Cricetulus griseus: one gene and its partners. The protein of the gene in region 6 purifies or fractionates together with the protein of the main gene of each other region. This does not show direct contact. Links are inferred from orthologs where the notes say so. Each region holds a gene or a part of one and is shown on either strand. Other genes may lie near its edges. The genes, in order: Top3a, Rfc1, Rfwd3, Smarcal1, Zup1, Rpa3 and Prpf19.

Region 1 (3,874 bases), on a different chromosome or scaffold from region 6:
TCCCAGCTGTTGGGATTATTTACTAGAGAACACCATACCTAGTCACTGGTGGTGTTTATCTAAGTAGATTGAGCATCGCTGCATGTCCTCTTGTCCTCTGCCCCCACAGGGTTTCTTTTTGTGACCTTGGCTGCCCTGGAATTTGTTCTGTAGACCAGTGTCTTAGTTAGGGTTTTCTATTGCTGTGAAGAGACAATATGACCATGGCAACCCTTATAAATGCAACATTTAATTGAGGGGGCTCACTTACAGTTTCAGAGATTCGGTTCATTATCATCACGTTGGGGAGCATGACGGCATGCAGGCAGATGTGGTGCTGGAGGAGTAGTTGAGAGTCCTACATCTTGTAGGCAACAGGAAGTGGACTGACAGTCACACTGAGGGAAGCTTGAGCAAAAGAGACCTCAACGGCCGCCTCCACAGTGATACACTTCCTCCAACAAGGCCACATCTCCTAATAGTGTGACTCCCTTTGAGGGCCATTTTCTTTCAAACTACCAGTAGCTTCTAAATCACAGAGATTGACCTGCCTCTGCCTCCTGAGTGCTGGAATTAAAGTTGTGTGCCACCACTGCCTGACTTTAGCTGCATTTTTTTTGTTTGTTTTGTTTTTTAAGATAGGCTTTCTCTGTACCTTTGGAGCCTGTCCTAGAACTCATTCAGTAGACCAGGCTGGCCTTGAACTCACAGAGATCCTCCTGTCCCTGCCTCCCGAGTGCTAGGATTAAAGGCTTGCGCCACAACTGCCCAACTATAGCTGCGTTTTTTTAGGGGCATGAGAAGCAGGCAAGAAGGGTTTTTTTAGGGTAGGATATGATGGAGCACACCCCAACACTCAGGAGGCAGAGATGGGTGTATCTCCATGATCAGGCTAACTTGGTCTATATAGCAAGTTCCAGGGCCAGCCAGGACTATACAGTAAGATCCTGTCTCAGAAAACTAAGACAATGAAGAAGGCTCTTCCTGGAAGATGGATGTCAGCAGTGTGCCTTCTGAATTCCTGGATTTGACCTGTCCACTCTGCTCTCCAGGTTCTACCTTAGCTGCACAGGGTTCCCAGAATGTCGGGCAGCTGTGTGGTTTCCTGATTCGGTGCTGGAGGCCAGCAGGGACAGCACTGTGTGTTCCATTTGTCAGCCACCCCCTGTGTACAGGTGAGCTGGGTGTCTTTGGAGCATGCACTGTAGAACTCTTTCCTGTCCTCTCACTGGAACCCAGGCAGGAATGTCAAGGATAGTAGTTCTCCACCTATGGGTCCCAATCCCTTTGACAAACCTCTGTCTCCAAAAATATTTAAAATATTTACATTACAATTCATAACAGTAGCAAAATTACAGATATGAAGTAGCACCAAAAATAATTTTATGGTTGAGGGTCACTACAACATGAAGAGCTGTATTAAAGGGTCGAAGCATTGGAAAGGTTGAGAACCATTCGGGAATTCTGTTCTCAGCTCACAGTCTTAGCATCAGCACTAGCAGCTGACTGGTCTAGTTTTGTGTAACATTTTAAAAATGATTTATAGGATAAAATACTTTCTAAAGCAGATATACAGCACTACTGAAGATAATAATACTGGTTTTCATTTAGGCAAGACTGAATTTGTTCCACCTCTGTCCCTGTACTCCACTGAGCTATTACATGTTTCATCATTTCTGAAAAACTCTATTTGCACACATGGAAACATAAAAGTAGACTAGCATTCTTTTTTTTTTTTTTTTTTTTTTTTTGGTTTTTTCAAGACAGGGTTTCTCTGTGACTTTGGAGGCTGTCCTGGAACTAGATCTTGTAGACCAGGCTGGTCTCACAGAGATCTGCCTACCTCTGCCTCCTGAGTGCTGGGATTAAAGGCGTGAGCCACCAACGCCCAGCTGACTAGATGCATTCTTATTGTCTTGACTTCTTTACCTTGAAATAGCCCCAGATCCCTGAGGGGGCCAGTGGTGTAGAGAAGTAGGACTTTCTGAGAGTCTGAGAGTTCGTCTGTATGCTTGCTGCTCTGTGCTCTGAATGGGTTTCCTGGGGGCTGCAGGGAGCTGTGACTGGCGACCGCTGTGCACCAGGGCAAAGACTAACATATTTTCTCATCTTGACCTCACTAGGTTGAAGTTGAAGTTTAAGCGTGGGAGCCTTCCCCCAACCATGCCCCTGGAGTTTGTTGGCTGCATAGGTGGATGTGATGAAACTTTAAAGGAAATCTTGGGCCTGCGATTTTCACAAGGTCCCCCAAGAGCTACCCAGCCCTCTGGCTACCTGCAGGCCAGCCAGGCCCTCAACAGGATGGACAGCAGTCAGCATAGCCTCTCTCAACCTCTGGTCAACAGACATACTGGATCTTCAAAGGCAATGGCTGAAACCTTCCCACCACCCACTCCTGCTGGTGAAAGTAACTCTGTGATCTGCAATTGTGGCCAGGAGGCTGTGCTGCTTACTGTCCGCAAGCAGGGCCCCAACCAGGGCCGGCACTTCTATAAGTGCAATGGTGGTGGTTGCAACTTCTTTCTGTGGGCTGACAGCAGCCATCCCACAGGAGGAGGAGGGCCCCCCACCTCTGCATCAAGACCCCCAGGCAGCTCCATGGGGTACACGTCAGCTTTAGGCAGCAACGTGGATGGGTTTGGCAGCCTTGGTGGTGATGGTGATGGAAGTACATCCTGCCTGTGTGGGCAGCCTGCTGTCACACGGACTGTGCAGAAAGATGGGCCCAACAAAGGACGCCAGTTCCACATCTGTGCCAAGCCACGAGAGCAACAGTGTGGCTTCTTTCAGTGGGTAGATGAGAACATGGCTCCAGGTGAGGAAGCAGGACCACAGGTCCCTACATAGGTTCTCACAGTGGCTATCATTGCAGAGACCAGAGAAGAAGGGAAGGCAGATGAGTGTATGGGAGATCAGCAGGGCCATAGCTTTGCCTCTGTTTTCTCATTGTTCAGCAAGGCATGAATCATAGATAGGGTCTTGGGTTCACATTAGAGAGTAGCAACTGTGCCCAGTGCCATGATCTGTACTTTCTATAGCAAGTTTCCTTCATCTGGGTTCGATTACTTTTCCAAGTGAGGTCAGGTGCAGGCCAGCGAAGGGCTTTATTTAGTGTCACAATGACAGGTCCCAAAGTAGTAATAAGTGTCTTCCTCCCCTGTAGACTGTCACCCTCGCTAGGTCATTTTTATCAGCCTCATTTTACCTGAGGCACACTGACTGGTGGTGTGTAGAAACCTATCTACACAGCCCCGAGTCTCAGGAATGAATGTTCTAAGGACTGGCACCCAGACATTGAATCAGATGGGTTCCTGCCACTGCAATGCACAGCAGTAAACCCAAGGCTGAGCAGCAACTTTGCAGTTTCGCAGGTCTTTCCAATCCCAGTTGTATACCTTCACGTAGCTGGCTGAGCCTCTCACCCTTGGTCTCCTCAGCAATAAGATGACATCACTGATTTCCATAAAACTCCTGTTTCCTAAAGGAGCCAAGTTAGTCTCGGACTATGATCTTTCATTTTTAGTCATTTATTTGTGGCTGGGGTGCACATTTTGAGGCAGGTTATATATGTAGCTCAGGCTGGCCTCAATCTTACAAACCTGCCTTAGCCTCCTGAGTACCAGAATAGCAGGCATGTGCCACCAAGGCTGACTTCACATGTGGGCCACCAGATGCAAGAAGCACCCAGAAGACCTGGTGAAGAGCTTAGGACTTCAGGCCCCTCAGGCTATCCTTTTCTGTGCCCGTATCTGAAATAACTGCAGAGCCCTTAGCCTTGTATACACCTGAGACTTTCTAGGGCCACCAGAAGTGACATATGTCTCCAAGCCAGATGACTAGATGTCTTCAGTGTCAGGACAGCCAGCACTGCAGCCCATTTATAGTCTAGAAGGTT
Region 2 (3,874 bases), on a different chromosome or scaffold from region 6:
TATATATGTGTGTGTGTGTGTGTGTGTGTGTGTGTGTGTGTGTGTATGTATGTATGCATGTATGTATGTTATGAGATGTATATATATATATGGACAATAAGGATGAGAAGGTAGGTTACACACAACACACTATATGTTACACTCCCTCTCTCCTCCCCTGAAAAGTAAAGAAACACCAAAGACATGCTGAGACAGTCTTCCAGGTCAAAAAGAAAGAAGGTGAATTTACTTGTTTTACACAGGAGTTTGATTTTCTAGCCAAAAGTACTGTCTATTGTGCATCTCTATCAAACAGGAGGCTTCTAATACCAACTTCAATAAACCAGGTTTGTCTTATACACACCTCAGCTTCAGCAGCTATTTCATACTTGGATTTCTTGCCTGGCATAGTTCGAATCAGATCCAACAGACCATCTTCATCAAGGATTTTTGTTCCCAAAGCTGTTGCCTGTTGATTAAAATACAAGTCATCAGAGCTCCATATAAACTACTTGTTGTTGGAGAGGAAATTTTACTTTAAGGCTTACTAGCAGATGAATCACCACACTGTAAATTAACACTAGAATTTATTTTTAATTATTTTTAAGATTTTGCCAGGCAGTGGCAGTGCATGCCTTTAATTCCCAGCACTCAAGAAGCAGAGACAGGAGGATTTCTGTGAGTTCGAGGCCAGCCTGGTCTCCAGAGCGAGTGCCAGGATAGGCTCCAAAGCGACACAGAGAAACCCTGTCTCGAAAAACCAAAACACAAAACAAAACAAAAACCTGTATGTTTCTATGTTAACAATATTTTTAAAACTAGAATACACAAAGAAAATCAAGTAAATAGCAACGATGCTTCCAATTAAACAAACCAAAATCTGTAGTCACAACCAAAAACACACATACGGTATGTGAAGAAGACAAAACTACAGGGTGAAGGCGTTCTTTCTCTTCTTTTTTAACTGTAATGTGGCCAGGAGCATTACCACAAACAGCCACACTGGCAGGCAGGTACTACTGTGAAGAGCGCCAGCAGGACCCACCTTGTCACTCTTGGACTGTCCGCTATCCCGGCCCATAACGAGATAGTTGGTTTTCTTGCTCACATTTCCTGTTACTTTGCCCCCATAACGTTCAATTAGAGACTTGGCTTCTTCCCGTTCAATGGACTCCAGCACGCCTGTGATCACAAATGTCAGTCCTTCCAAGCAATTTTCAGCTCCCTAAAAACCAAAATGTTCAAGCAGAGAAGAAATTACAAGGTAGCTTTCCAAAGAAATATAGCTGAACAAGCTGACTTGACATCATAAATAATGATGAATAAAGACCCCAGCATGAAACCTAGATAGAAATTACAGCAGAACCTCAAAGTAAATCCTGATGAATTCCTACATAGCTAACATTTAACACATACCAAATGAATGAGGAAAAACATACTGTTACCAAAATTAAAATTACCCATTCATGCAATTCTCCACTTTTCATATTTAAATCAGTAATTTGCTTTCATAGCTTCAAGTAAACAATCAAATGTAATCTGCCCACTGACAAGCCCACTGTTGTTAAAGTACAGCTTGGGTTCTGGAAAGCCTATCAAGTTGGAGCGTTTATCATTCTCTGATCATTACCCGACTGAGAGTGAACCTAAGAAACTGCTAGAAGCATAGAACAAAGATAACTGGCCATCTAAGAGCTGACCGGGCTTCTCTTCTTAAGTCTGAACTACAACTCCGTACAGTTATAGATTTTCAAAATTTTTATAACATCAACTAAATTATACAAACAAAATGGTCATTCTACATGATATGCCCTGCTCCTTATTACTCTGTGAATAGCACTGAGATTTTAAAAAAAGTTAAAGAAAACTGGAAGCATATTCCAGCGTAAGCTGATCATTCCTCTGCCACATAAAGAACCTTTCTTAGAACAAAGGAGGAAAGAATAGTTATTATTTACTGAGAAAGAAAGGGGAAAATGGCTAACAGCTTCTCTTCAGTCCTTCCATTTCTAGGAGTGAAATGAACTATTAAATCTTCACAACAGACTCCAAGTCACCCTGGAGAACTCCACATCAAGAAGCTCCTCCTTTCAAACCCCAAACTACTGTCTCCCTAGTGCTCTCCCACTAGAGCTCACAATATCATGTTACTGACCCAAGCTCAGCCTCACCAGCGTCCTTACCATCTCATCCATTAGACTCCTCTACAGCTCTGACTCCAGGAAACTCCTGGCAGCCTCTTCAACATTCCCTCACAGCCTTGCTGTCACAAAAACACAGCAGTCCCGTAGGGACACCATTTGCCCTAAAGTCCTCCAACAGGCACTTACTTGTTCAGTCTCTCAGCGTTACACCCTATACAGGAGGCAAGGCTGATCTCTTCTTCCAGCCCCTTTCCCTTCCCTCTAGCTACCTACCCTTTCTTCTTAGGGGAACTTCTAATCGCCTTATGTAGCAAAGTGAAAATTAAATTTAAATGTCTACCAAATTTATCTCCTAGATTCTCAGAAGCCCCATGGCACAGTTAATTATCCTTCCCTTGGGGAGGGTCTACTCCATCAGCAAGAAACACGTCTTAAGTACACCTCCAACCTTAAAAACATTCACCTCTTCCCTTAAATCCCACTCTTCATTTCTATTTCACAACCAAACTTATCAAAAACACGTCTCCATTTGTCACCTCAGACTCTTGAAGCCACTGCATCAGTTGTCTCTACTGTTCTTGCTGGGGCCATTAAGGACCATCACTCACGTTACTAAATACAATGGACAAGTCTGAGTCTTCTCATTGTTGCAACTTTCACAACATAGCAGATCATACCACTCAATCACCTTTCTTGCCTGCACTTCTCCTATACCACTCACATCAGACTTCTTTCTCACATCTGGGCTGCTACTTGTCAATCCCACTTTGGTTTTCACCCCCATCTTTATATAGAGGCTATGATAAGGCTCTCTTTTCTACAATTCCTAACAGTAGCAACAAAAAGTTTTATGTTGGGGTCACCACAAGAGTAACTGTATTAAAGGGTCACAGCATTAGGAAGGTTGAGAACCACTGATCTAAATGATCCACCCAGGATCATCCATGTTTCTCTACTATACTCTCTAAGAGCACCTAGGACTTTTCTCTCACAGCACGGTACTACAATCACTATCAGATATTAATGCATTTACCATGCTTTTCCTTAAGCTCTGAGTCCATGAAGGCATGGAAAAGCACATCCCTTCTCAGGCTACTTATTATTTAAAGGACACCAGTGAGTCACAATGTAAATAAGAACTTCTAATTCATAAAAAGGTAGCTGAGACCTTTCTGTTAATACTGGCTCTTTGCTGGAACAGGAGGCAGAGTAGCACAGAGTAGCACAATCCTCGTGACTCTTACCTTGGGTATTTCTTTGGAGCCCAGAGCTTTGGGACCTTCACGATTTAAGTAGCTTCGATAAGCTTGATAATTAGTACGCTTCTTTTCAGAATCTTCTGGACTTACAGACTTTGGACACAGGGAAAGAAAAAAAAGTCATGTAAAATTAAGATGTACCTAGAAAGAATTACATTTAATTTAGATGGATGGATGTGGATGGATGGATGGGTAGGTAGACAGACAGATATAAATGGAGATACATGTATGTGTGTGTATGTATGTATGCATGTATTTCTGATTCAGAGATACTGGATGTATCTAGCACGTGTATATTGGGGAGGGTCCCCTAGATAACTTTTAGAACTACTACATTATTTTTCCAATTCCTACTTTATATTGCTTTTAACTTAAATGTAACTCCAAATCTCTTAAAGTAGACAAAATATTCATTTGCATAAATAAGTGATATGATCAATAAGATAGTTAAGCTGGTTTTGAGTTAAACCAACTACTGCAGCTGATCTTAGA
Region 3 (3,874 bases), on a different chromosome or scaffold from region 6:
CACTCAGGAGGCAGAGGCAGGTGGATATCTGTGAGTTCGAGACCAGCCTGGTCTACAAGACAGCCTCCAAAGCCACAGAGAAACCCTGCCTCAGAAATACTCCCCTCCACCCAAAAAAAGAAAAAAAAAATTCCTTACTGGTAATAAAGACTTCCAAAATAGCTCAGGAGTTTGATAGGTAGGACAGAACTTTTATTAAAAAGGATAGTGCCTCACCAACAAATATTTGAGACAATAGCCATGTTGTCTACACCTTGGGTGTCCTAGAGGCAGTGCTTTAGTGAAGTAGCCTAAGGCAAAGTAGACAAATGGAACCTGAGCATAACTCTAAATGCTGGACAGCCAGTTCAGGACAACCAGAATGGAAGTTTCTAAGTGTCTTCCTATTAGTCATCCACAGGTCTAACCACTACTACCTTCCTGAGAATAACCACACTACTAACAACACTTTCAGAAAAAATTGGGAGGCAAATCAGAGGAACTCAGAATCAAACATTTCACACGGGAAAAGAAGTCTTTACCTGGGAATTGTACATCTTTAAGCACTGGCTTGGTGGAGAATAAAAACCCCTGAGAATTCTACACTAACTAGAAAAATCTAAGTCTTTTACAATTGCTCAAACAACTGGTCCTTTTCTTTTCTCTCATAATGCAATGACCTTAATGTACACAAGCTGTAGCTATGGCTCTTCATATAGCTAGCTCATCAACCACCTCCAGCACTGGACTTTTCAACATTCTAGTACCCATGTATACCTGGAATGTAACTGTTGTTGCCACAACACATACCACATGGTGTACCAGACACAGGGGGGCAGAAGCCCAGGGGTGTGGGTGAGATCAAGTCACTAAAAGTTATGAGCATTCAAACTTGGAAATAAGTCAAATTCTACCCAAGACAATTCAGGCTGGTTGGGTATCACAGTCCCAAAGTGCTGTGCATACTCATATCCTAAATAATAGTTGTGAGGACTGTAAGATCCTGCAGAATTTAAATAAAGGATTTCCAGGCAAGATTCACAAAGGTACTCTTTTGGTTCAAATAGTATACACAATCTTAGTGTCTCCATGACCTAGAATCACACTAGTCCAAATGAACCCATGATTCAAAAGTTCTAGTTACAACATATAAACAGGTATCTTGTTCAGGACTACTAGGTGCTAAAAACAATACTTAACATTAACCAGTAGCATGTTTGGAAGGTCTCAAGACCATGCTCACTCCCATTTATAAAAATGGACATCCTTCTCAGTTAAGGTGGCCAAATAGTTGCTCTGATTTGCTTCAAATGGGCAGATGTCCAAAACAGGTTGATCAGTCTTCAGGTCCTGCAGCAACAAGCCACTGCCAGCATTCCACAACTTAAAAAAGCAAGCAGAAACAGTGGTCAGTAGTTAGTCAGCCCAGGTGGGGAATAACTGTATAAAACTATCACACCCTAAGTTGGCTTGAAAAGCAAGTTAAGGACTCATTTCTTTCATCTATGTGCCAGAAGTCTTCTAAATATTGTCTCTTCCAGAGACAGAAGAGTCAATGAGATAAGACCACTATCTCTATCCTCATAGAACTTGTATTAAGAAGTGTGTCCATGTGGGGTACTTGTGGAAGAATGTGGCTCTCCTGGAGCCAGCTCACAGCTGGCTGTGAGCCTTCCAATTTAGGTGTTGGGAACCAAACTTGGATCCTGTGGAAGAAGACCCTAACATGCTCCTAACTGCTGAGTAATCTCTCTAGCCATGGAACATACATTCTAGCAAGTGTTTTCTTTTCTAGAATGTTTACTACAAGACACTTGTAAACTATCTAAAACAGGGCCCAGGAAGGTGGCTCATTGAAAGACACTTGCCATGCAAGCCTAACAAGATCCCAGGTAAAGGTGGAAGAAGGAGAACCAAGTCTACAAAGTTGTTCTCTGACCTCTACCTGTTACCATAGCACATATTCACTACCCCAACATCATATACTAAAGTGTTTTGTTTCTTTTTTTGGTTTTTTGAGACAGGGTTTCCCTGTGGCTTTGGAGGCTGTCCTGGAACTAGCTCTTGTAGACCAGGCTGGTGTCGAACTCACAGTGATCCACCTGCCTCTGCCTCCCAAGTGCTGGGATTAAAGGCGTGGTGCGCCACCACCGCCCGGCAACTAAAGTTTTTTTAAAAGTTGAGATATGCTAGGCATGCCTTTAACTCTAGCATTCAGAAGGCAAAGACAAGCAGATCTGAGTTTTAGGCCAGCAAGATCTATATAGTGAGTATACAATAAGACCATCGTTCAAAAAATACATTGAAATAACAAAAATGGTACAATAAATTACCACCAGACTCTTTATCTTAAGATAAGGTCTCACTGTGCAGCCCTGGCTAGCCTGAAATTCATTACGTGGACTTTGACTGGCTTTGAACTCATGGAGTTTCTACCTCTCAAGGCCTAGAATTACAGTATGTGCTGTTCTGCTTGGCTTTTTACATGAATGCTAGGGATCTGAATTCAGGTCTTTATGGCAAGCATTTTACATTTTACCAAATGAGTCAACTTCCCAATAAATGTTCTAAGTAATCGTTAATGTGTTAGCAATTCTGTTTCCTTCCCTTTATTGTGCTATTACTTCATAGTGTTTAACACCTATGTTGTAATCATTATATATCAGAGATAATTTTGTGTGTACATATTTATATGAATGCCCCTACTTGTGCATTTGGAAACCACAGAAGAGTATGGGGGGCAAGATTCTTCCGGTATTGCTTTCTGCCTTATTACCTTTAGACTGATGTGGTGGTTGGGACTGACTTCCTCACATATGCTAGACAACTTCCGAGACCCTCAAACCCCAAACTACTTTTAAATATAAAATAAAAACAGGCTTACCAGAGCAGACTTTGATGCTTCATCCCCAGTACATACTAGGACATTGCCATCATTCTCTGGGCTTTGAAAGATGGCATTTTTGGTCAATAGTTTGCAAGTGGGTCCCCCAAGGAATGTTTGCACAGGAAGGCATGAACAGACTGGTTCTCCAGCATCATCTAGTTTGTAAGACATCTCCAACAGCACAGTTCGTATAGTGTTATGGCTTTTATCTATGAGATAGAGAAATTGGTGTTACCTCATGAAGATGATACAACAGAAATTAAGTACCTGAACCTCAAATACTTAAACCTTGCTGGGTAGAAAAGCTAAATATATTAAGCCCACAAGACCTATAAAGCAAACACAACAACATAGCACCAATGAATTCAGAAGCCTGGGCTAGGATAAAGGAAGTTATCTGCAGTAGATTTTTTCCTACTTCAGAAAGAACTTTAGAAATGCACTGGTTTTGTATAATCAATGTATCTTCTGAGACCTGCTGGGAAATTTATTTTTCAAGTATTCTTATGGCATTTCCCCCTTTTCCATTGAGGATGCCATTAGCTATAACAAGTTACAGCTGAGGTACTTCTGAGAGACAGACAAAAGCTGGGAAACAAAATGGAACCCCCAAACTTGCTTTCTTTTTAATTTATTTATTTTTATTTTATGTGCATTGGTGTTTTGCCTGAATGTATGTCCATGTGAGGGTGCTAGTTCCCCTAGAACTGGAGTTACAGACAGTTGTAAGCCCTTATGCAGGTCCTGGGAAATTGAACCCAGGACCTCTGTAAGAGCAGTCAGTGTTCTTAACCATTCTCTAGCCCCAAGCTTTCTATGCAAGTCATAGCATGATTTTTAAGAGCCAAAAGTCCAGAAGTGGCAATTGAAATAGTTTCCCAGATAAATGTGCAATGATGAGATCCACCCACAAATGGGCACTTTGATGGTCAACTTGACAAACTTGACAACTCTATCCTGGAACCCATTTTTAGGCCCTACTTAAAATCAATGTACACAGAGGCTTCT
Region 4 (3,874 bases), on a different chromosome or scaffold from region 6:
TGAATACCCCCTTATCTATAGGTATTAAGGACTAGAGAGAGGGAATGCTGGCTGTTAATTTGGTCCGGTGCTGAGGTAGTGGCATATTCTGCAGTTAGCCCTCTTAAGAAAATGGCATGTAGCAGAATACCTTTTGCTGAATTCTGTGTGCTAACGCCATTTGTCTTTTTGCAGGTCTTTTGGACATGTGCATTCTGGTTCACACACCTCCGTTTTCTCTTTCCAGTTGCAAAGTCACGTGATCTCCGACAAGTTCAGCTAGACCCTCTGCCCAAGACAGTGACCCTGGCATTTGCATCTCAGCTGGAGAAGACATCTCTCAATGCCAAAGCCGACGTGCCTGAAGTTGACCTTTCTGGAGTGGATGCCAAGCTCGTGTCTAATCTCATGCCCTTTCAGAGAGAGGGCGTTAGGTAGATAACTGGTCCTCCTCTTGCTCTCTCTTGCTTGAATTCCATCATTTAGCACAGGTGGGGTTCAAATGCTTCTTTTATGAATACTTACATGTATTCATTGCGTACCTGTCTGGAAGCATCTAGATTAAACATTAAGCATTAAACAGCCAGGTGTGCTGTTAGCAAAGCTTATTGTTACCATTGGTTTCCAATTCCATGAGTTAACCAGGACTTTGGATTGCAGGTGTTCAGCAACCCAGTTCTCATCAGCTGAAGGAAAGAGATTTCTCCCCAGAAATCTCTGCTTTAGTTCGGCTTTCTTCTTAGCTTGCACCAGGCTCAGCCAGGTGCTCTTTTCAGGGGCTTGTGGCTGGTGTTCCATAGTTTGGCAGCACAGATTAAGTACTGTTTCTGTGCTGCAGAAAGGGAGGCTGATTCTTGGGGCTGCTAGAGGACAAGGAAGTACCCTGACATGGTACCCACTGGCCCATGTGTGCTGGCCTCTGGTCCCCAGAGAGCTGCTCAGTTGTTGCATCCTGGGAAATTTACCAAAAGGCCAGGGGCAGCTGAAAAAGTCTTGTAGTGCCCACACGCCAATGAGAAGAGATTACTCTCTTTGTTTTTATTGTGTAAGAAGGAAAGAAAAGAGCTATCTACCAGCTCATCACTGGGTTTCTGAGCCAGCAATCAGTTTTTCACAAATTAGATGAAAGAGGACTGGAGTTTGGAGCAGGGGACCAGATGTCTGATGCACAGACTCTTTGTAGTTTCTCAGTGATTCATCTGCAACACCAGCAAGTCATTTCACTGTTCCTGCTCTCATTGCTTCCTCCCTCATGTGGGATGGTGGCTATAGCAGAAACTGTTCTTCGGTGTTTAGGAAGGTGTCAAGCACCAATCCTAAGTGCTCTTTTACTGTTTCTCCCAAGAGTGGTCAGGGACTCCTTACTCGGATCTCACTGTTGCATCAGGAGGTGCATCAGGAGGCTCAGCTGCTGAGTGATAGAGTTGAGATTCCAGCTGAGGCCTGTTGCAGGTACCTGGAAGCTGCTAGTCTGCGAGAAAACCCTTTGCTAAAGCCAAGTTCTCATCCTCTCCCTGTCCGTCCTTTTTGCCAGTAGTTTTAGTCACTGCTGGTTTCACCCTGCTCCTGAGCATACAGAGTGAGCCTTGATGCTCAGAGTGCTGCATTTCTAACTCCACTTACTCTTACTTCTCTTTCTGTCCTTCCTGGGCACGTTTCTCAAGGGAGATCAAACCCCTGGATGTGGGTGTTGCATCACGGCCTCTCATGGTCCCCTGTGATCCTGTGCTTGGTTTAGGCAGAGTTTTCTCACTGTGGCTTCGCTCTTAACCCTGTGGCCTGTTGTCTTCTACATCCTCCTCCAGGGTCCGAACCATTCTGCATCTTCACTGTCTGTTCCCTCTTTTCTTATCCTGTTTCCTAAATGACTCCTGCCCTGTCCTTTTTGGAAAGAGAATCTTGCTGAGAGCGGGGCCCATTTTTGTCAGTGTTGCAGCTCTGTGGTGGCAGGTTAATTAAGATGGACAGAATGGCCCCGTGCACTGTGATATTACCTTACCCTGTCTGTCTCCTTGCAGCTTTGCCATATCCAAAAGAGGCCGCCTACTACTTGCTGATGACATGGGCCTGGGGAAGACCATCCAGGCCATCTGTATAGCAGCCTTTTACAGAAAGGAGTGGCCACTCCTGGTGGTCGTGCCTTCCTCTGTGCGCTTCACCTGGGAGCAGGTTAGATGTCTCTGCACTGGAATCATTGGGAAGGGCTTCCTTAGGGCTAGAACATCCAAATTACAGTGAAGAGCAAGGCCTGGGATCTTTAAAGGTCCAGATGTGGGTCAAAGACCAGCAGAAAGATGAGTTGGTCCCTGAGAATGGGGAGTCATGTTATCCCCAAAGGGAGGAAAGCCAAGCAGTCACTAGCTTAGGGACCTACTGCCAGTCCCTCAGCAGATACTGTTCCTCTGGTAAATAAGACTGTCCTTCTGCACTGCACCCGATCTCTGGAATGTCTTTACTTCCTTTGTCTCTCCAAGTCCTGTGACACAGCACTCAGTGACCCACTTTACAGATAAACAAACTAGGTCTCAAGGAGGTCAAGAGCTGTGTTCCCCCCTAAGGAGGCATCTTACTGACTTCCCTGCTCAGTGTTTTGCTTGCTATAGGGTATAGTACATACTATGTTTATGCTCCCCAGACGACCTAATAGATGGAGGCCTGATGTAAACATTGAATAATTAATTTTTTTAAAAAATTTAAGCAAATGCAGTGAAGGAAGGCCGAGCTTATTTCCCGAGCTTTATGGCTTTGTGCTGCTGATGTGGAGCATCATAGATTGACCTCTCCCTGAGGCACCAGAGTCAGACTGCAGAGGCTGCCTCTCAGCCTGCCGCTGGTGAGGTATAGATCCTGCCATTGCCTGTAGAAACTTGGCATTATGTATCTGTGTGTGTTAGATTTCCCTCAGAAAGTCCAGAAAGAGTCAGGGAGCTGCTTATAAGCAGAACTAAGACTGGAGAACTCATGTCAGGAAATAGCAGGCCCAGGCAAGGCCAGGGGCACCTACATGCTCTGGCTGGAGACACCCAGTGGCCTTCCTACAGCCCCAGGGTGCCTGATTTATCTAGTGATGGACTGTCAGTTTGCCTTTAGTGTACAGGAGGCTCTTGCAGGTCCTTCATAAAAGTCTTAGAATCATTCTAAGGAACTGGGACCATCTAGATTTCACAGAGAAGAAACTGTAGGCACATGAGGTGCCTGCTCACAGGAGAGAGTCCTGTCAGCACATAGTGAGGGGAGGAGTGGACTAGAGGCAGATAGAGAGAACCAGGGTTTGCCAGATGCAGGAGGGTATGGAGAGAGGAGTATGTCTTCAGGGAATGGTAAACTTGGTCCCCATTGAGAGTGTTGTTTTCTGGGTCGTCACTTTGTTTTGCTGTCCCCTGTCACCTGCAGGCCTTTCTTCGGTGGCTGCCATCTCTGAGCCCAGAGAACATCAACGTGGTGGTGACGGGGAAGGGCCGCCTAACAGCTGGCTTGGTCAACATTGTTAGCTTTGATCTTCTTAGCAAGTTGGAAAGGCAGCTAAAAACCCCTTTCAAAGTCGTCATTATTGTAAGTGACTTGGCAGGGTCCTGAGTACTTTGTCTCTTTAGAGGAACTCTGAAGGGTTCCTCAAATTTGGTAATTTGCCCTTATTGATCCTCTCTGGTTTTGGGGGAGGGGGCAAGAGAAATCACTGCCTTTCTTTTGTAGGGAATGATCTATTCCTCTCCTGAAGCAGCTCTTACGCCTGACTTGTGTGCCAGGAGGATCCCTTTAAACAAGTGGAACAAGTCTATTAGAGGGTTTCTAGTCCATCCTTCCTGCATTGGGAGGCCAGAGATGGAGGCCAACATGTGTGCATCAGACCATGCTGGGTCCAAAAAACTGCATTATTGTCAGCAAGGGTGTGTGC
Region 5 (3,874 bases), on a different chromosome or scaffold from region 6:
CTTAAGGGGCAGCTACTGAATTTAATGATAAACAACATGCCCCCAGAGAAGTAGTTTTCCAATACAACTATAAAGTGCTTTTGTTTTTGCAGTAAGGTTAGGAAGTAGTAGAAAGTCTTTGATGTTTTGTTTGTTTCTTGAGGCAGGGTCTCAGTGTATAGCCTTGGCAGGCCTGGAAATTGATGTGTGGATCAGGCTGACTTTAACTTACAGAAATCTGATTGCCTCTGCCTCCTGAGTGCCATGGTTAAAATTGTTCACCACTATGCCTGGTGACATGGTTTAATGCTAACTACAAAAACACTCTACTCATAAAGTGTACACAGTCCTTGGCATGGGGTGAAAAGTTTAAAAGTTCTACAAATAAAAAAAGCCTTTCTACATCTCTAATACAGACTGTCATCAACCACTCTATGACTGTCCCATGTGTGGGCTCATCTGTACAAATTACCATATTCTCCAGGAACACGTGGACTTGCATTTAGATGAAAGCAGCTTTCAGCAAGGTATGTTTATGTCTAAAAGTGTTTTCATTTCTACTTCTAGAACACACATGTCTTTTAGGTTAGGGATACGATGAAAAAGTCACCCTGTTTAGAAGTGAATCTGTTCTTTAAATAATCCCCGGGTAGCTGCACCGCTTTCCTTGAAGTCTTACTGAGAAATTGTAAAGGATGAACTGTGGAGACAGCATCCAAACCAAGGTTAGACATCGTGGGTTTGGCTTGACATGTAGAGAATACACCATTTAAGACAGTGCTTTTTTAAAAAGTGCTTTTTTGCCATTTAAAAGTTTCTCTTGACAAGTTGGGGCCATGCTTTCATTGGTTTGAAGTAATGAAGTTAACCTTTAGCCAGCAAGATTTTCCAACTAAGAAGCTGCCACTTTAAAAAACTAGGTGAATTTATGTGACTCTTGTAACTATTGTGTGACAAAACTTTTCGGGGCAGGGTGGAGGTGGGGAAGCAGCACACATGTCTGCTTACCTCAGATAGGAAACCTGTGACAGACCAAAGTACTAATACTACCTAAGTTCAGTTTGGTCAATGAATTTTATTGGGGCTACTTATAGGAGTTTGAGTGAGGAGTTACTTATGAGAGCAGAAATGATAGAGCCTCATTGTGTAGCTCTGGCTATGTGTAATATCGGGCTAGAACTCACAGAGCGCCCCTTGCCTCTGTCTCCCATGTGCTGGGATTAAAGGCGTGCACTGCCATGCTCAGTGTACAGGTCAATTTTATGGAGACATTTTCTCAATTGAGAGTCCCTCTTTCCAAATGACTGTAGCTTGTGTCAAGTTGACATAAAACTAGCCACCACCTCTATCTTCCTTTGCAGAAGGTAGTAAGGGAATGCTGTGGGAGGGTAACCTTTTAGAAGCTGAATATCTGCTGATTCTTACTTTGTGGGTAGGCTTTGTGATGGTGCATATATTCTGTAAACCAGTGCAGAGAGTCTCAGGGCATGCTAAAAATCAGTTATGAGTTACATACCCAAGAACATAAGGGAGAATCAAATAGAAAGGTATAACAACTAGGAGGCTTGGAAGAGAGAATATTCAGTTTTGGAGTTAAATCATCAGGTTTGTGGATTGTAATGTCTCTGGATTGAGGAATACCTAGAAGATTCCTTAGCTATTCTGGGGTGTCTCTGTGTGTTTCCAAGGAACACTCATGTGTGTAACGATAAGTCTTTCCACCAGCCGCCTGGTTCCACCCGCCATCGAGTTAGGGCCCCAAGTAACACACAGATATTAATGTTAGGTACAGTGCTGCTGGCCAATGACTAGGATTTCTTATTTGCTAGCTGAGTCTTAATTATCAACTATAACTATTAAACTATATATTTTATAAACTTATTGAGGACACAGGTGGCAAGTGTCCTGTCTTCTGGGGCTCACATGACGACTCTCTCTCTACTACATTTCCCAAAATCCTCATCGACTCCTAGTCCTACCTATCTTGCTTTCCTATTAGCCAACAGTGCTTTATTCATCAGCCAATAAGATGCCCCCCATCATGTGTATATGGGCAAACTGAATGGAGAAGATCTATATTCAATGTGGACAGGTAGCATTCAATTCAGCCAAGATTCTAGATGGACCAGGACAGTTGAAGAAGGGGCAAACTCATTTTGGCTCTTCCTTCAGGATTGGGACTTGTGTTTTCTACTGTTGCTCTTTGCCTTTAGACTGCAGAGTATTTGGCCTTTGGACTCTGGGACTGTTGTGAGCATCCCAACAGAAATCTTGAGCCTTTGACCTCAGACTTGGATCTCTGTCCATCACAAACTGCTCACTCTGGCTCTGTGTGTGTGTGTGTCTGTGTGTCTGTGTGTGTCTGTGTGTCTGTGTCTGTGTGTGGTGTTTTTGTCTCTCTGTCTCTCTCTGTGTGTCTTGCTCTGGCTCTTGCTCTGTGTGTCTGTGTGTGGTGTTTCTATCTTGCCCTTGGTCCTGTTTTTACTGGAGAACCCTGAAGAATAAAGGAATCTAAGAAACAAGATACCATACAGATACCACTGTTAAAAGAATCTGAGTTTCACTGGGAGACATGAAGCAAGTCATTACACTGTAAAATTATTTCTCCTTTTTGGGTAAAACTATAATGAAACAGTTGGAGATAGTGAAGGTATACTTTGTACTCTTTATTACTTTCTTCTCATTTGTTTCAAAAAGGAATCTCCATTAGTTGTATTCAGAGGCATCAATGAAAAGTGCCACTTAACCTTTCTTTTTTTTTTTCCTCAGCAGATAATACTTCATAAAGTTGTCAGGAAGAACAAGTCAATTAGTTAATGAGGAGAGCTTGTGGCAGCCTAAGTACTGAGTGAATATTGCTTGTTTCTCTCTAATAGGCATGGACAGAGTCCAGTGCTCTGGTGATAGAGAATTAGCTGAGCAGCTTCAGCAAGAAGAAGACAGGAAGAGGAAATCTGAGGAATCAAGGCAAGAAAGGGAAGAGTTCCAGAAGTTGCAGGTACAGAGATCAGTAACAGTTTTATTGAGTAGAGTTCTTATTTCCCATATATGCTTTTTTGGGGGTGGGGAGGCAAAAACACTTAAAAGTAGCTATTTTCCAAAGCCAGAGAGCTGGCTTAGTTATTAGGAGTGCTTGCTTCGCCAATAGATGACTTGAGTTCATTTCCCAGCCCCTACTTCAGGCCGCTTAGAACTGTTTATAATTTCAGCTACACACACACACACACACACACACACACACACACACACAGCCATTCTTGACTGTGCATGTGGCACATGCCTTTAATCCCAGCATTAGGGAAAAAGAGGAAGGTAAATGAATCTTTTAAGTTTGAGGCCAACCTGGAACCCATCAAAAAACAAAGCAAAACAAAAAACAATGTAGCAGTCTATTCAGATACTGGAATAATCATTTCAGATAAAATATGTGAAAAATTTCCACAGAAAACACACAGGGTTTTGTTTTCATTTTTCTTTCTTTCCTGTGTTTAGATGAAGAACAAAAATAAAGTGTTTGTGATTTGCCCTGGGTTAGACAACTGTTAGGTAGAAAAGGATACATGTAAAAATATGCAAATGACAGGCAGATTGTAAAACTATACCGAGACTCTGCCTGTCTGTTTACTTAAAATTATTGTGTATCTCTCCTTAGTTTTGTTTTTGTTTTTATTTTTTGGGTTTTTGTTGTTGTTTGAGACAGGGTTTCACTGTTTAGCTCTGTCTGTCCTGGAATTCGCTTTTTAGACAAGGCTGGCCTCAAACTCGAAAAGATCCACCTGCCTCTGCCTCCCAAGTGCTGGGATTAAAGGCGTGCATCACCACTGCCTGGCTGTGGACTGGAGGGATGGCCCAGAGGTTAAGAGCAGTGGTTACTATTCTAGAGGACGCAGGTTTA
Region 6 (4,631 bases):
TAAAAATTTTATAAGGACTGTTGTAAACTGTTACATAATAGATTTACAACATAATACATACAAAAGAGCAAATTAAATATGAGATATTAGAGGAGTCTCTCACTCCAACTGAAGGAGTCTTCTTTAAAAACTTTCAATGTTGCTCACTGGCAGTCATAAAAATTTCAAGAAGTTCATTCATGTTGTATAAGCCCTAAAGGAAAAAACTGAGGTAACTCATTGATAATCTTCACAGCTTCATTGTAAAGTTCAAGATCTGAAAGAAACATTTAAGCAAATATTTAATCTATAGCGGAATTTGCAGCATCTACTGTTACCTCAAGTTTCTACCTATTTCTTTCCTTTTCAGAAGTCTACTTCTTTTCAAAATCCATGTTTATTTATCTCTGGTGCCCCCAAAGAAAGGAGAGATGATAACCTATTTTGTTGTCTGTTACATAGTCATTTTCTGCTGGATCATAATTTCAGTGTTACTGCACTGTTCAAACTTTGAATTCATATATTAATGAATATTAATTTCATCATATTTTAAGCCATTTTATCTATAAATAGCATTTACTAAGTTTCCTTCACCTATAAGAGATGATTAAAAGAAGGTCTCTTCATTCTATAGAAATTGAAAATATGCCAGGACTGAGATTTAAGACCAATGCATAGTAAAAAAAAGTTTTTCTCCTATTTACATGGCACTACTATGTAGTATAATGTTTTACTTACCAAAGCGAACACAATCTTCCTTAAACTGGACATAAGATGCACACATTATGGTTGCTTTCGCTGTGACTTTTCCAACTACTTCCACAACTCCAGAGATTTCTTCATCAAGCTAAAATGTTGACCGAAATGTCAGTTACCTATATTGACCTTTTCAATTGATAATATGCTTGGAAAGCTGTTTCATAGTTTCTTGTTTTTCATATTGTTTCACAGCTTACTAATTTTTCATTGTTAAAAAGAAGTTTCAAATTTTACCAACATAAAAAAACAGAAGTATAGTTTGTTAAAAAATGGTGGTATCTATACCTGACAGGATGGTAAAAGTTTTGTTATCTTTAGAAGAGGCTCAAGGTCCAAAGATACTTATATTTAAGTTGACGGCAGAGTTATTTAAAGACACTGAGGATTTCAGAGTTCCTGATATATACACAGGGATTTATTTGAAAATTCACTGAGAACTGTGTATAAATCTTACAATGTGTGTTCTATATAGAGTAACCAAACACTGTATGGATTTGTCTTCATAAAAGACCACAAAAATGTTTCTGAGCACATTAAACAGAAAATAAAAATATATGTAACTGAAGATTAAAAATAGAAAATCAAGATGGTTGGCAGTACCAGTAGCAGTCTGAAGCAGGCGAAGCACCTGGGGCCACCACTTCAAGGCCAGGCTTGTGAATATGGAAGAAGTAGTTGGAAAAGATTTTCATATGTACATTTTGGGTATCTTTTTAAGTAATAAAAATTATTATCCAACCAATCTTAAGGGACATTATCAGAAACTTGGAGCTCTAATAATTAGTATGGATTAGAAATGGAAATAAAATATGAGGGCATAGGTTTGATTTTAAAGATGAGGAGGCTTAACTAGTACAGCCTTCACACTACCATCCACCAAATCAGAAATAATAAAAAAACCAAACAAAAAAATTAAATATGAGACATCACTTAAAACATACTGGCTCCATCAATTCAATTGTTCCATTTTTTCCTTCTCCATCTGAAAGAATAAACATTTTTCCAGTGGGATGAATCTAAAAAAGAAAACAAAAACCCACATAGATTTAGAAAATAGAATCTACAGAAATGAAATGGTTAAAAACTTCATTGACATTTTACTTGAACATAAGACAACTGGTTTTTGGACAGTTTATTTGGTTCAAGTTGTAATCTTGTTACCAGATCTGATCACTGGAAGCCCAGCTAATTTTGAATTTCTAGTAAACAATGAGTACTTGCTTAGTGTTATGTATGGCTTCTTGTTTTATTTGCAAAATCTGGCAACTGTATACTAAAACTAAATTAAGGAAGTTTTTCACTTACCTAACAGTGGGGATTCTGCTGACATTCATGATTTAGATAGTACATCTCACAGAAGGTATGCTTTTAAAATTAGGAATGAAGAACTAAAAGAACTGGCTGCCAGATCTGAGGACTTCTCTTGGGATCTGAATTGAGCTTTGCCACTTGTGACCCTGAGCATTTCAGTTAATTACCAACACTCTGGCTCAGTCAGCCTACCTGTGAAGTTAGAATAACATTCCTTTCACTTTGGGAATGTGTGAATGAAATGAGCTAGTAAATAAGTTCTTACAAATGATTTTCCTTTCCTCGGCTCTCTCAGTCACAGATTCTCAGACTGTGGGCTTATTTCTTAGCTATAGGATGAGGGCTGTATGTAGTCTTAAGTCTGGGCTACATACTGGGGATCAACAGGATATGGGAGGGGCTATCAATGTCTCACAGAAAAGCTACTGCAACGCGAAAAAAAAGGCCCAAAACACAGAAAGTTACAAAAGACCAGGAAAGAAATAGATTCATCAGCCAAGCATGGCTAAACCAAAAACTCCACAGTAGGCAGTGGAGCCAGGCTGATCATCTTTCAAGTAAATACAGAACGGGGGCGGGGAGCGCTGGAACTACAAGTTAGCTCATTCGAAAACACTTTGCGACACACAAGAAGCGGCATCACGCCGGAGCTGCAGCGGCAACTCTTGCTGGTGAAAACTAAAGCAAGCTGGAGAGCAATGCTGCTTAAGGCTACCTGCTTTCACCCTCCGCTCCCCACTGCGCAGCCACTCCTGGGTGGCCACGGTGCCCCGCTCTGTCGCCCGAGCCTGCGCACCTTTTCCAGCTTCCCCACGAAGCACACGGGCCGGTCGATGTACTGCGCTAGCATGCTGGCGTTGATGCGCGCTTTGGGGAGCTCCATTATGTCCACCATGATGGTGCCGCCGACACTCGGAAGCAGCGGGAAAGCAGAGCCAGCAAGGACTCCGAGCTGGCCTCCGCGCCAACACGCGCAGATTTCCCGATCGCCAATCCTAGGAGACCCGCGCTCCAGCTCCACCAATCAAATCCGCAGGGTCGTCCAGTTGCATTGCATGGGGACGGGGGAGGAGCACGAGTCCTCCGGAAGTACGGACCCACTGCCTAGTGACTCCCGGCGTTCCGGAAGTTGCTCGGGCTGAAAAGAGTGGGCGGAGGAGGCGGGGCCTGGAGGGGCGGGGCTGAGGCCACGGACCGGGATCTGAGGTGGCCGAACGGGGACTTGACCCCGGAAGTAGGCTGAAGTCCCGGCACGGCGGGTGGCGGGCGGCGGACGGCGAGCGGCGGAGTCTCAGGTAGCGCTTTCCTGCGGGAGGTGTCTCGATCCTCGTGCGTCTCTCCCCCGGAGGACTGAACTCCAGGGGCCGGGGCCGGGGCCGGGGGCGGAGTCAGGCGCCAGGCCCGGAACACCGTGGCTCAGGCGGTGACAGTTACCCGCTTCTGCGTGGGAAGCGCGGGAGCGTGCCGAGCCTGGGGTCTGGGCTTCTATTTTTGCTCTAGTTGTACCTGAAGGGGACCATCATCATCAGTCTTCATCTCCTCCGCAGGAGGCTGTTGCTAGGAGACTGAGATCATTTTATGTAGCACGCTGTGTCCCGTAGGTGCCCGGTTTCCCCACCAGCAGGAAGAGGTGCTGACCCTTCCTTCTTTACAGCTAGGACCGTTTCTGGCTTTGGCGGTCCGGAGGTGTCCGTCTCCTCACCTAACTGCTTTTGGGTTCCCCACTGGGCAGGATCAGAGGAGAACTGTTTCACCAGCTGTTGAATCCCAGCGAGTGCGCCTCCACTGGTGCCACATTGATCTATCTGCCAAACGAGGGGTTGACTGATGTGCTAGGTCCTGACTGTCAGTGTTCAGGCATCTGCACTGGCCTGGCCTTGGGGTCTGACAGGATGCGCCCTCAGCTGCAGCCACCGTCTGTGCACATTCACCATGTTTCCCTAAGGGTTCTGCCCACCTCCCATCCTCACTCCCTCTCTCTTTCTCTCGTTTCTATCTCTGTCTCTCTCTCCCTCCTTCTCTCCCCCACTTCCCTCCCTCCTGGTGCTCCTGTCTTCCCCCTCCCCTTTCCCCTTTTTATGACCCCTTTCCCTAATGCCGCCCCCCTCCGCTCTTGAACCCTGTAGCATGGCATCTTTCTCTGGCTTTTCTTACATTACAACACCGGCTGATTGTAATTTGGGGTTGTAATCTAGCTCCCTGGAGTTCTTTGAGGCATAGAACTGACTGAAAGACAATTTATTCCAAGATTTGGGGGAACTTCTCGGATGTTCCCCTGGTTCATAGTATGACTGGAAGCTGGTGGCTATTGATTATAGTGATGTCACCAGCCGGGGATTGGGACCAGAAATTTCAGAACGAGTGCACATGAAAATACCTTCAAAAGAGGTTGCAGAAATTAGAACCTAACTTTAGTTGGGTTTCATAATTATGTGGCAATAGTGTCTGGATTTTCCTAAAGCCACATTCTTATTGTTAGTCTTTAAACCAAGGGTCCTAATTGGAGCTAGAGTGTAGTCCTGCTGTTGTTTAAGATCTGCAAAGATCTGCTTTGAGATTTTTATATGGCAATTTAAGATAGA
Region 7 (3,874 bases), on a different chromosome or scaffold from region 6:
TTAATGGTCTCATAAGAGTTGAGTACTGTGGCTTGGTATGCAGCTGCATGGGGTGCTGAAACAGTGCCTCCCAGTTAAGTCTTTCTCTTAGACTTAAGGAACTGAGAAATAGAGGACTATTTGTGTCTTAGTGCTCTTTTGCTATGAAGAGACACCATGATCACAGCAACTCTTAATAAAAGAAAGCATTTAATTGGGGGATTGCTTCTTACAGTTTCAGAGGTTAGTCCATTATCATCATGGCAGGGAGCATGGTGGCAAGCCTGACACTGGGCCAGTAGCTGAGACAGACAGACAGACAGACAGACAGACAGACACACACACACACACACACACACACACACACACACACACACACTGTTTGACATGGGCTTTTGAAATCTCAAAACCAACCTATTCCCAATGAGATACTTCTCCAACAAAGCCACACTATTAATCCTTTCAAATAGTGCCGTTCCCTGGTGATTAAGCAGCCACATATATGAGCCATTCTCATTCAAACCATCACAGCTATAGCAAACTGAAAAACTAATTCAAATTGAAGTACTTTTTTTCCTGTTTATTCGTTGTTAGTATTACTTTTGGCTTTTATGAGTATGTGTTAATGAAAGGATAGTTGCTGTTATATTCTGGCTGTTACTGTCCTAACTAGTGGAAATAATTTATTTGGGAAACTAAATAAGCTCTCTGTCTGCCCCAGGTCTTTTGGACAATCAACATGCCCTTGGGTCTAAGTGTGAGGAACATGGGAACATGACCTTATATTCCTTTACAGGCTCAGTCTGCTCGGATCTGTGCCATCTAGTCCAGTAGTCTTTAGCTGCAGGTGCACATGATTCCAGTCCCTCAGTTCCACCCAGCTTTAAAAGGGGGCAAAAATAGCTCTCAGCTGCAGTTGCCCTGTTTACTACTAAGTAGTGAGGGTCTCAACTTGGCTCAGTGTGGCCATTTCAGCAGCATTTATTTTTCTTGGCTTTCTTAGGCACTGTTGTTTAGATAGGTGGTTACAGGCAGAGAGGGACTAGAAGGAGAAGCAGTTGCTGGTAGTTATGGCTGTCCTTTTCACTGTGGAAAAGGGTGTTATAGTACATTTCACTTCCTAGGATCTGATTCTTGGTTGCTTTCCTTTCAGGAACTGGTGTTTTCTGCATCCCCAGATGCGACTATCAGGATTTGGTCGGTCCCAAACACCTCCTGTGTACAGGTTGTTCGAGCCCATGAGAGTGCAGTGACAGGCCTCAGCCTCCATGCTACTGGAGACTATCTCCTGAGTTCCTCTGATGATCAGGTACAGTCCCAGCTAGGGCCCTGAGGAGGCTGCCTACTCACCCTGGGAGGAAGGGCCATCTTGCTGGGGCAGCCAGATTCCCAGAGTTCTGGAAAGGTTTTTTCCCTGTTGTGGGAGCTATCTTTGCCAGTAGGTGCTGAATCAGGGTCTCAGCTACCAGACCTGCTTACTCATTGGCTTCTTTGTCTCACCTCCAGTACTGGGCCTTCTCTGACATCCAGACAGGGCGCGTGCTCACCAAGGTGACAGATGAGACTTCCGGCTGCTGTAAGTGTCCTTAGAGGCACTGAACTCTTTTGTTTGCAGTTTGTCTTTAAGTTTTACTTAGTCATTTGCTTATTTGTTCTAAAGACAGTGTTTACCACTGCACCAGTGTAGAGGCCACGGTGACTACTGACTACAGATCCCTGTCCCCTTTCCTCAGCTCTTACCTGTGCACAGTTCCATCCTGATGGGCTCATCTTTGGAACAGGAACCATGGACTCCCAGATCAAGATCTGGGACTTGAAGGTAGGACATGCAGGCCTCTTAGAGAAGGAACTGATGAGGTGTGTCAGCAGGCCCCAGGATTTCTCAAGGCTTAGGAAAGCCTGGCTTTGTTTGTGTGGCATGGTAATGTCACCAAGGAACTGTGGGTGCACAGGACATGAAGTTTGGTAAGCCCCTTCCTATCTTAACCCGTAAGTGATAATTTTTTGTCCAACCACCACCTGTAGGAGCGTACCAATGTGGCCAATTTCCCTGGCCATTCTGGCCCCATTACCAGTATCGCCTTCTCTGAGAATGGGTACTACCTGGCCACAGCAGCCGATGACTCTTCAGTCAAGCTCTGGGACTTACGCAAGCTGAAGAACTTTAAGACATTGCAGCTGGATAACAACTTTGAGGTGCGCTCCTCCCCAGTCTTAGTTGTTTGTCCTCACTCCCTGATGGTTTCTGAGTTCATGTGAACTGCTTCTCTTTGTCCCAGTTGTTCTGTGGCTTGACATTTGTGTAATTGCCTTTCTTTGGGGTTTGGCAGGTGAAGTCACTGATCTTTGACCAGAGTGGTACCTACCTGGCTCTTGGGGGTACAGATGTCCAGATCTATATCTGCAAACAGTGGACAGAGATTCTTCACTTTACAGGTAGAGGCTGGCTGTGGCTTTCCGGGGCCTTGTACATCTGCTCTAGGAAGCTTCACTTGGTGGTGAAGCTCTGGGCTTGGCCTAGATAGGCCCAAACTATTCCTACTTTTGCTGTCCTGGGAGTGGAACCTGACCAAGTTTCCTACTACTGAGCCCAACCCCCAGGCTGCTTTTACTTATGTCTGGGGGCAGTAGAGCATTGTAGCCTAGGAAAAGCATTTGTGAGTCTGTTTGGCTGTGAGTTGTGTTACTACCTGGCCTCTCCCAAGTTGTGTGTTGAGGAGCAAATTCTGTAATTTGTAATCTCTCTGGTGCCTTAGGAAAATTGAAATGATAATTTCAAACACTCAGTAGGAAATATAGGGGTTTACATGAAAGTGCATGCAACTCATAGGTTAGCAGTGTCTTGTGGTATATTATTTGGTATTGGCTCTTGATTTGAGCAATGAAAAAGAACCAGTCTGGGAAGTAATGAAGGTTTTTTTGTTTGTTTGTTTTGGTTTTTTGAGACAGGATTTCTCTGTATAACAAACCCTGGCTGTCCTGGAACTTACTTTGTAGACCAGGCTAACCTTGTACTCACAGAGGTCTTCCTGTCTTTGTCTACCAAGTGCTGGGACAGTAGATGTGCACCACCACACCTGGCATGTTTTTTATCTTTTTTTTTTTTTAAGATTTTATTTATTTATTATGCATACAACATTCTGCTTCCATGTATATCTACACACCAGAAGAGGGCACCAGATCTCATAATGGATGGTTGTGAGCCACCATGTGGTTGCTGGGAATTGAACTCAGGACCTCTGGAAGAGCAGTCAGTGCTCTTAACCTCTGAGCCATCTCTCCAGCCCATGTTTTTTTTATCTTTTGTCAACTTTATTGGGGTCTATCATGTGTGAGTGATGAAGTTTAAAGTCAAGTTAGGCAGTTTTCCTTTGTGTGGAGATGGAGTCTGGGGCCTTTCCCACAGTAGCAAGTATTCAAGCCCCAACACAAGTATAACTACAACACAAGGATAACTAGAAGTAATAAAGGGAAGTCAGGCTGACAGTGGTGCACAAGAGGGTTTCTCACCTTAGAGTCACCTATGGCCTTGAGTAGCTGCTATAGCCTCAACTTTAGGGGATCTTGCTGGGTGTGATAGCTCACACCTGTAATCTCAATTTTTGATAGCTAAACTAGAGAATCACCTTGAGTTTAGGCCAGCTGGGAGCACAAGAGGGCTTTTCTCTGGAGAGTTGGTGAGATCCGGGTGTTTTCTTAACTCTGGAAAGAACCTGCCCTGGTTCTCCATCTGAGTCCTGTGAGGAAGATAGCTCAGCTTTTTCTATTCTGGATCCAGTCCTGTATTGTGTGCCCTGGACTTTGACATGTTTGAGCTAGAACTGGCTAATGGACCATTCCAGGTCCAAGCAAAGAGCTAAAGGTAAACATACATACTGAATGAACACTGAGTTTT

The links.
Region 1: the proteins of Rpa3 (region 6) and Top3a purify together in Homo sapiens (affinity purification with mass spectrometry; 3 studies listed by BioGRID and IntAct, with this or other methods). This does not show direct contact. The link is inferred for Cricetulus griseus from reciprocal best matches to the Homo sapiens genes RPA3 and TOP3A.
Region 2: the proteins of Rpa3 (region 6) and Rfc1 purify together in Homo sapiens (affinity purification with mass spectrometry; 3 studies listed by BioGRID and IntAct, with this or other methods). This does not show direct contact. The link is inferred for Cricetulus griseus from reciprocal best matches to the Homo sapiens genes RPA3 and RFC1.
Region 3: the proteins of Rpa3 (region 6) and Rfwd3 purify together in Homo sapiens (affinity purification with mass spectrometry; 5 studies listed by BioGRID and IntAct, with this or other methods). This does not show direct contact. The link is inferred for Cricetulus griseus from reciprocal best matches to the Homo sapiens genes RPA3 and RFWD3.
Region 4: the proteins of Rpa3 (region 6) and Smarcal1 purify together in Homo sapiens (affinity purification with mass spectrometry; 3 studies listed by BioGRID and IntAct, with this or other methods). This does not show direct contact. The link is inferred for Cricetulus griseus from reciprocal best matches to the Homo sapiens genes RPA3 and SMARCAL1.
Region 5: the proteins of Rpa3 (region 6) and Zup1 purify together in Homo sapiens (affinity purification with western blotting; 3 studies listed by BioGRID, with this or other methods). This does not show direct contact. The link is inferred for Cricetulus griseus from reciprocal best matches to the Homo sapiens genes RPA3 and ZUP1.
Region 7: the proteins of Rpa3 (region 6) and Prpf19 purify together in Homo sapiens (affinity purification with western blotting; 3 studies listed by BioGRID, with this or other methods). This does not show direct contact. The link is inferred for Cricetulus griseus from reciprocal best matches to the Homo sapiens genes RPA3 and PRPF19.

The regions. Positions count from the first base shown.
Region 1 is NC_048600.1:74,737,127-74,741,000, reverse strand, and holds part of Top3a (DNA topoisomerase 3-alpha), read left to right. Parts: intron 1-1,031; coding exon 1,032-1,154; intron 1,155-2,102; coding exon 2,103-2,794; intron 2,795-3,874. UniProt on the Homo sapiens protein: Releases the supercoiling and torsional tension of DNA introduced during the DNA replication and transcription by transiently cleaving and rejoining one strand of the DNA duplex.
Region 2 is NW_023276807.1:132,328,745-132,332,618, forward strand, and holds part of Rfc1 (replication factor C subunit 1), read right to left. Parts: intron 3,476-3,874; coding exon 3,368-3,475; intron 1,205-3,367; coding exon 1,025-1,204; intron 449-1,024; coding exon 344-448; intron 1-343. UniProt on the Homo sapiens protein: Subunit of the replication factor C (RFC) complex which acts during elongation of primed DNA templates by DNA polymerases delta and epsilon, and is necessary for ATP-dependent loading of proliferating cell nuclear antigen (PCNA) onto primed DNA.
Region 3 is NC_048596.1:187,682,250-187,686,123, forward strand, and holds part of Rfwd3 (E3 ubiquitin-protein ligase RFWD3), read right to left. Parts: intron 3,076-3,874; coding exon 2,864-3,075; intron 1,363-2,863; coding exon 1,219-1,362; 3' UTR 1-1,218. UniProt on the Homo sapiens protein: E3 ubiquitin-protein ligase required for the repair of DNA interstrand cross-links (ICL) in response to DNA damage. Plays a key role in RPA-mediated DNA damage signaling and repair.
Region 4 is NC_048595.1:425,980,213-425,984,086, forward strand, and holds part of Smarcal1 (SWI/SNF-related matrix-associated actin-dependent regulator of chromatin subfamily A-like protein 1), read left to right. Parts: intron 1-226; coding exon 227-413; intron 414-1,997; coding exon 1,998-2,148; intron 2,149-3,372; coding exon 3,373-3,531; intron 3,532-3,874. UniProt on the Homo sapiens protein: ATP-dependent annealing helicase that binds selectively to fork DNA relative to ssDNA or dsDNA and catalyzes the rewinding of the stably unwound DNA. Rewinds single-stranded DNA bubbles that are stably bound by replication protein A (RPA).
Region 5 is NC_048595.1:257,243,701-257,247,574, forward strand, and holds part of Zup1 (zinc finger-containing ubiquitin peptidase 1), read left to right. Parts: intron 1-395; coding exon 396-506; intron 507-2,855; coding exon 2,856-2,977; intron 2,978-3,874. UniProt on the Homo sapiens protein: Deubiquitinase with endodeubiquitinase activity that specifically interacts with and cleaves 'Lys-63'-linked long polyubiquitin chains. Shows only weak activity against 'Lys-11' and 'Lys-48'-linked chains.
Region 6 is NW_023276806.1:216,931,968-216,936,598, reverse strand, and holds the start of Rpa3 (replication protein A 14 kDa subunit), read right to left. Parts: upstream 3,136-4,631; 5' UTR 2,945-3,135; coding exon 2,846-2,944; intron 1,755-2,845; coding exon 1,680-1,754; intron 827-1,679; coding exon 718-826; intron 257-717; coding exon 174-256; 3' UTR 1-173. UniProt on the Homo sapiens protein: As part of the heterotrimeric replication protein A complex (RPA/RP-A), binds and stabilizes single-stranded DNA intermediates that form during DNA replication or upon DNA stress.
Region 7 is NC_048596.1:49,549,332-49,553,205, reverse strand, and holds part of Prpf19 (pre-mRNA-processing factor 19), read left to right. Parts: intron 1-1,132; coding exon 1,133-1,288; intron 1,289-1,485; coding exon 1,486-1,555; intron 1,556-1,712; coding exon 1,713-1,798; intron 1,799-2,004; coding exon 2,005-2,175; intron 2,176-2,309; coding exon 2,310-2,415; intron 2,416-3,874. UniProt on the Homo sapiens protein: Ubiquitin-protein ligase which is a core component of several complexes mainly involved pre-mRNA splicing and DNA repair. Required for pre-mRNA splicing as component of the spliceosome.